2 linked regions of the Callithrix jacchus genome follow. The protein of the gene in region 1 interacts with the protein of each later gene in a biochemical or structural test. Links are inferred from orthologs where the notes say so. Each region holds a gene or a part of one and is shown on either strand. Other genes may lie near its edges.

Region 1 (3,818 bases):
ATGTTCTCACTCATAGGTGGGTGTTGAACAATGAGAACACATGGACACAAGGAGGGGAGCATCACACACAGTTAAGGGGTACTAGGGGACAGTGGAAGGTAGGGAGGTTGGGGAGGGATAGCATGGGGAGAAACGTTAGGTGATGGGGGATGGAAGCAGCAAACCACATTGTCACGTATGTACCTATGCAACAATCCTGCATGAACTGCATGTGTACCCCAGAACCTAAAGTACAATAAAAAATTTATGTAAAAAATAAGAAATAAATAAAGGAAGAATAGAAGGTTAAATCATGGTTAGTGCATGGGTGTCGTACTATTCTTATTTCCCCATGGACAATTGTTTTGTATTTTTTATTTATTGGTAACACATATATTATGGTTTTTGTGTGAGATTTTCTTCAAGGGGTACAGTGTGGATTTGACCTTGACTTTAAAACAATGATAATGCAGCTATATTTTCAACGACATTTTAGGACAATCATTTTATTAAAATTTATCCTTCTTTTCTTTTTAAAGGGTATACCTCAGTTACCATGTGCCAAAGCATTATACAATTATGAAGGCAAGGAGCCTGGAGACCTGAAATTCAGCAAAGGTGACATCATCATTTTGCGAAGACAAGTGGATGAAAATTGGTACCATGGGGAAGTCAATGGAATTCATGGCTTTTTCCCCACCAACTTTGTGCAGATTATTAAACCATTACCTCAGCCCCCACCTCAGTGCAAAGCACTTTATGACTTTGAAGTGAAAGACAAGGAAGCAGACAAAGATTGCCTTCCGTTCGCAAAGGTAAAGATCGGATGCGCTTGTCTTCTGGGGGCCAGCTCTACCTCTGTACTCAGATACACGGGAATATAGCTTGTGTTGCCTTTTGCAAAACAGTACAATAGTTTTGTGTGAACTATTTCACTGTGCTTCTAAAAATGCCTAGAAGCAGTCTTTAAGTCACAAGGAAGGTAATTTTGTGCACAGATTTCTTATATGAAAGATTATTTTGGTTGATGCTCTATGTAGTGTCATTTTCATATTTAGAATCTGAATTTATTTCTAAGCCACTTTAAAGAGTGTATGCAGCACTCAGGGATTTTAAAGTACTGAATTATGAGTAATAAAATGAAATGTCATTACTTTCTTATTTTATATGTAGATTTCTTTGCTAAATGCATACAAGACTATATCTACCGAATTGATAAAATGGTTTGGAGTTTTCAGAAGAATATTGCAATTTTTGTGAAGAAAGGCAGTAGGAGGTGCCTTTGAGTAAGCGTTTGGTTTATTTTCAGAAAATGAGAAGCATCTGAGAATCAATCTAAAACACAAACTCAGGAGACTAGGGTAGGTAGCATGTGAGGTTGCATTTGTAGATCTTAACAAAGTTAGCAGCCAGCTCCCTTGCATAGAGTTCATAGCTTTACAACAGTTGGAAGGGATACCAGGTGGACTGGTAGCTACCATTTAATTCATGAACTAAAGATATATTATAGCATTTTTATTCATGTACTCTTTAAAACACGAGTCTCTTCATTGAAAAGGAAAATTAAATGATAAGCTTAATTGTACAGCTTAAATGATCAGGTAGATTAATGATCTGCTGTTTCTTCAGGATGATGTTCTGACTGTGATCCGAAGAGTGGATGAAAACTGGGCTGAAGGAATGCTGGCAGACAAGATAGGAATATTTCCAATTTCATATGTTGAGGTAAATTAATCTGTGGAAACTTGTGCTGTGTTACTATTCAGCTTACTAAATAAATCTTAATTATGCAATTTGAGTACTGAGAAGTCCTTACAACAAAAAGCACCACGAATGCCCTGTTACACATCACTGGACAGATCAGGAGGAATGCCTACATCCTATCCTGCAGTTATTGAAGACAGTGAGATACTTGAAACTCTTTACTTTTTCTCCCTGCTAAAAGCATTCCTATGTCTTGTTAAATGTCACTGTATGCTTACTGTCAGTCACCTACACTATTTCCTGTTTATTCCATTTGCTGGGTTTTGTGGGGTTGGTAAAGTTCTTAAGTAAGATGGAGATAAGTGTATTTGTTTATCTTTTACTTACTTTTTTTGTTACTTGCTGCGTCAGCAGAACCAGAACAGTGATTCACAAAGTAGGGCTTCAATAAACATTTGTTAAACAAGTCAGTGAATCTGCCTCCATCCCATCCCAGCAGCTACTTATCCCTCTCTCCCTTCTTTACGCCGCTTTGCTTGGAAAGCTTGTGGCCAAGCCTGACACAGTAAAGTCTTTTTAGAGAGTATGTGTAAAGTCACATAGTTGTAATATTATTATTATTTATATATATATATGTGTGTGTGTGTATATATATATGTATGTATATATATATATATTATTGCATTTTAGGTTCTGGGGTACATGTAAAGAACATGCAGGATTGTTGCATGGGTACATACATGGCTTTATTTATGTATAATGAATAATACCAGCTGAACATGAACAAAGGAGTTACAATTTATAGTAGGCTTTCATTACATCATGTATCATAAACTAAGTGTCCTTTGGGAATAAGAATTTCTTGCTGAAAATAAAACTGAAGGCATTTTCAAAGAATGGAGTGTGGCCCAGACAACCATTCAAGGTCAGTTGAAGCCATTGGAAGGCTCCTTTAAGAAGTGAGGTCTTAATAAATATCTGTGTGATGGATACGTAGGGGTTAACCAAGAGAAATGGAAATAGTGTATTTTATGGTAGGAGAAACATCCAGACAGGGAGACCAGCATGTGCAAAAGCCAAAAAGTAAGAGAGAGCACAAGATTGTTTGGGGAATTGAAAGTAATCCGGTTGTTTAAAATATCAAAGCACGTATCTTAGCCATGTGAAAATGAAAAACCACTGTCCCTTATTTTCCATCTTTTTATGTGAGGCATTTGCTTTGGCATGATTTTGAAAACTAAAATGACAAATCGTATCATTGTAGCCAGCACTCAATTTCCTCCATAGACAGTGAGATTGCCAACGTTTTCATAAAAAGTCAGTTTGACTACTGTATATCCATGGGAAAGTAATTCAGACCATGTATGAGCCTTGAATTTTATCCATACCCTTCAGATGTTCCTGTTTATTGAAATATTTTTCCTCCTTTGAAAGCAAACAACAGAAAAAAAATAAATAACCCTTAACTCACAGGTAGTCCTTCCTGTACATTACATACATATCCTGTGGGTCATGGAAAACTACAAGCACTTCCAAGTCTTTGAACAGTTACACTGAAGAGCATGGGTAAGCACAGGATTAGTAATGAAAGCCTGTCTTTACTTGTTGGGTATTATCAATATTACATGCTGATACTTGATTTGTGATGCATGAAAAGGGATTACTATATTTTTGTTATTGGGCAGGTACGGAATTGTGCAGATAAGCGTAAAAGATCCACCCGTGGCAAGTCCAGAGTCATTTCAAGTCACTTGACTCATTAGGATTATTTCCTCTGACTTAAGTTGGAAAGATAAACTTCTGCTCAAGTGGAAAATACTTTCATTCTTCTGCTGCTTTTCTTTCAAATGAGCATTTTCCTCACTTGAACCAGTATCTTGCCATTTGAGATGTGGTAAACAAATTGTCTATCTTTAAGAGCCTATGAACATTTCTTTGATGTCAAGCCATCAAGAATTGAACTTCCTGGTAGAGGGAGCAAAGTATCTAGGGATTAGTGGCACCTGGTTTAGCCCTTAGGGCAATAAAGTGGAGGCAGATTTCAATGGTAACCTACTGAAATTCAAGTATTTCAGTAAAGTAGATTGTCTTACAGGGCATTCTTAGCTGTGGTAAAGCAAACTATAGGAATAAAA
Region 2 (3,497 bases), on another chromosome or scaffold:
GCTCCTGGTGACTTCACCAGGTCCAAAGAGGACCAACAGTAAAAGGGCCTGAGAATAGGCCTTAGGGAAACTGCCCCAACATGAAGAGGCAGCCTTCGAGGGCCCTCCTCAAGAAGTGGGTTAAAAGCAGATCCCATCCCTCCACCACTGGGCCAGGCATACCGCGGCAGGGTGCCCCAGGCACTCACAGCGGTCGGGGGGTGTGATTGTGATGGACTGGGCGGTGAATTCATCATCGAAGTACCGTGTGTCGACCTCAGACGTGACCTGAGGTTTGAAGGGTGGCAGGAGCTACGGAGGAGAGGAGCCCGGGCTCAGGGACCCTGATGCCAGGAGGCCTCAACCAAGGTCACCATGGGTGGGCCAGGCCCCTGAGGGTCCTGCTGGGGCTGGCAGTGGGGACTCACCTTCTTCTGGACCACGTCCTGCCAGTTGATGCTGAGGAAGAACCTGTGCTCCATGACCTCCTGGGCATCGCTGGGCCCCCCACCAAGCCTGGGCAGAGATGGCTGTCAGCACCTGCCTCCCAGAGCAGCTGGGTTCAGGGAGACAGGCTTTCGGCGCAGGCAGGCCCTGCATGGCCTTTATGATTCTGTCTTGACCACAAACCACCACTTCACAGAGGAGGAAACTGAGGCTCAGGGAGGGAGCTCACGTGCCCAGGGTCAGCCTGACCTCACCCTGAGTCCAGAAAGGGAGTTAGTAGGGCAGTCTTGGTTCCATTCTGGCTCTGCCACATACAGCTTGGTGGCCCCAGCCAGGCCCAGGGTTGCCCTGTTCCTCAATGTCCCCATAAACCAAAGCAGTGTCAAGGATGGCCTGCCCCGCCCTGGGAAAGCTCTCCCTAAGGGCCAGTGCATTTTCAGGGGCTGTGTGGGGACAACACACACTGTGACATCACAAGCGAGTGCCTTTGTGGACACAGCCCCCTCTGGGCTGCAGGGACAGTGGCAGCAGCCGGGGCCAGGCCAGGCTGGGCTGGGCTGGGCTGGGCAGGGCCGACACCAGCCCTCACCTCTGCTTGGGGTCCTTCTTAAGCAGCCCGGCAAGCAGGGACTTGGCCTCGGGGCTGAGCGTGCGAGGGAAGCGGATCTCCTCCATGAGGATGAGCTCGAAGAGGCGCTCGTGGTCCTGGTTGTAGAAGGGCAGGCGGCCACACATCATCTCGTACATGACCACGCCCAGCCCCCACCAGTCTACTGCCCGGCCATAGTCGTTGTCCTCCAGCACCTGAGGATGGAGGGGAAATGAGGGGCTGGGCCCATGGCCCTGAGGCTGGAAACACACAGGTCTGGGATTCCCCTACCCTTGGTCTCACATGTTCCCACACCCCTAACCTCACACACCTCAGGCGCCAGGTACTCCGGAGTCCCACAGAAGGTTTTCATGGTGGCCCCATCACTGATGCCTTCTTTGCAGAGGCCGAAGTCAGTGATCTTGATGTGGCCGTCTTTGTCCAGCATGAGGTTTTCCAGCTGTTGGAAAAGTCAACGTATCTCACGCACATGCTCCCAGGGCTTCCTGCCGCCCCAGCCTTTCCTTTCAGGGGAAGATGCCAGGGGGTCCTAGATATCAACTCTCTCAGGCCAGGCTGGGCCCAGCACACACAGCCTCAACCTCTGAGGCTCAAAGAGAGGCCAGACCCAACCTGCTCCGCCCCCTGGCCCACCCTCAAGGTACTTGAGAACAGCTGGGCAGGGAGATCCGGGAGCCAGGCCCTGTCTACCCACTGCCCCACTGAGAGCTACAGGGTCTTAAGTTCGAACACGGGGGTGGGCACTAGCTTTCTTTTTGAGACGGAGTTTCGCTCTTGTTACCCAGGCTGGAGTGCAATGGCGTGATCTCAGCTCACCACAGCCTCCGCCTCCTAGGTTCAAGCAATTCTCCTGCCTCAGCCTCCCGAGTAGCTGGGACTACAGGCGCGCACCACCGTGCCCAGCTAATTTTTTGTATTTTTAGTAGAGACAGGGATGACCAGGATGGTCTCGATCTCTTGACCTTGTGATCCACCCGCCTCGGCCTCCCAAAGTGCTGGGATTATAGGCGTGAGCCACCGCTTTCTTCTTTTTTTCTACACTTTTTGTCTTTTAATTATGAAATATGCAACCAGACAAAGTGGCTAACATCTGTAATCCCAGCACTTTGAGGGGGCTTAGGAAGCAGAATTGCTTGAGTCTAGGAGTCTGAGACCAGCCTGGGCAACACAGCAAGATCTCATCCCTATTTTATGTTTAAAAAAACAAGGCCGGGTGCAGTGGCTCATGCCTGTAATCCCAGCACTTTGGGAGGCTGAGGCAGGTGGATCACCTGAGGTCAGGAGTTCGAGACCAGCCTGACCAATATGGAGAAACCCCGTCTCTATTAAAAATACAAAATTAGCTGGGTGTGGTAGGGTGCACCTCTAATCCCAGCTACTCAGGAGGCTGAGCAGGACAATCCCTTGAACCCAGGAGGTGGAGGTTGCAGTGAGCTGAGATCGCACCACTGCACTCAACCAGAGGGAGACTCCTTCTCAGATAAATAAATAAAAATAAAGTAGGGACTGTGCCAGTTCACACCCCACTAGCAGCCTAGGAGGGCTCATGGAGACCTGGAAAGGTCCCTACCTTGGGGCCACTTGCTATGGAACCACCACCCTGGACCTTGGTGGGGAGAGCTTGGCGAATGAGGGCAGAAGGCCTCGGCCCCACGTCCCTGGTGTGAGTCCCGTCTGCATGCCACGGGCCAGCCTGGTGCACACCCTGCCACTAACCTTGATGTCGCGGTACACCACGTCCCGAGAGTGCAAATACTCAAGAGCTGAGACGATCTCTGCACCATAAAACCGAGCCCGCTCCTCTGTGAAGACATGCTCCCGGGACAGGTGGAAGAACAGCTACGGGAGAAAGGGGTGGGGAGAGGAGGTCAGGCCACCACCCACTCACTTGCCCTCAGCTTCCCAGCCCCCTGCCCTAGCCCAGTGATGCGGTGACACCTCCATCATGAACCAGCAAGTGACAGCCAGAGAGACCAAGCAAGGCACAGAGCAGAAGCAGCTCACAAGTGACACAGAGCTAGGCGTGAAGGGCTAGGGTCTGCCAGGAGGCACCCACGAGAGGGTATGGGAGGGACAGCCCGAGGCAGCAGAGGAGGGAGGCCGGCACAGAGGGAAAGAGAAGTGCACGTCATGACCAAGTGACAACAGGCCATGGGCAAGCCCAGATCAGATGGGTGAGCAAACCACCTATCCCAATGCAGGCGTGACATCCGCTGCACTGAGAAGAGTGGGTGACAGAGTGAGGTGACCTTGTGATAGGGAGTGGAGCGGCTGCGTAAATCCACTTCGGGAGGACATGGGAACAGAGAGCTGGTAAGCTTTGACCCTTGGGGACTTTCTCTAGGGCCTTTAAGACCATCCTTCCCAGTGCTGTCGGCCAGCCACCCTGCAGCCCTCTTCACACCTCTCTGGACTGGTTTGGCCCCTGACCTATCCACTCACTAGCTGTGTGAACTTGGGT

What was found.
Region 2: the proteins of SH3RF1 (region 1) and AKT2 form a complex in vitro, tested with the Homo sapiens proteins (2 studies listed by BioGRID and IntAct, with this or other methods). The link is inferred for Callithrix jacchus from reciprocal best matches to the Homo sapiens genes SH3RF1 and AKT2.

Annotation. Positions count from the first base shown.
Region 1 is NC_133504.1:22,144,290-22,148,107, forward strand, and holds part of SH3RF1 (E3 ubiquitin-protein ligase SH3RF1), read left to right. Parts: intron 1-518; coding exon 519-794; intron 795-1,608; coding exon 1,609-1,704; intron 1,705-3,818. UniProt on the Homo sapiens protein: Has E3 ubiquitin-protein ligase activity. In the absence of an external substrate, it can catalyze self-ubiquitination. Stimulates ubiquitination of potassium channel KCNJ1, enhancing it's dynamin-dependent and clathrin-independent endocytosis.
Region 2 is NC_133523.1:35,802,765-35,806,261, forward strand, and holds part of AKT2 (RAC-beta serine/threonine-protein kinase), read right to left. Parts: intron 3,350-3,497; exon of another isoform or gene 3,238-3,349; intron 2,876-3,237; coding exon 2,753-2,875; intron 1,476-2,752; coding exon 1,347-1,475; intron 1,290-1,346; exon of another isoform or gene 1,231-1,289; coding exon 1,016-1,230; exon of another isoform or gene 947-1,015; intron 520-946; exon of another isoform or gene 496-519; coding exon 408-495; intron 292-407; coding exon 189-291; intron 1-188. UniProt on the Homo sapiens protein: Serine/threonine kinase closely related to AKT1 and AKT3. All 3 enzymes, AKT1, AKT2 and AKT3, are collectively known as AKT kinase.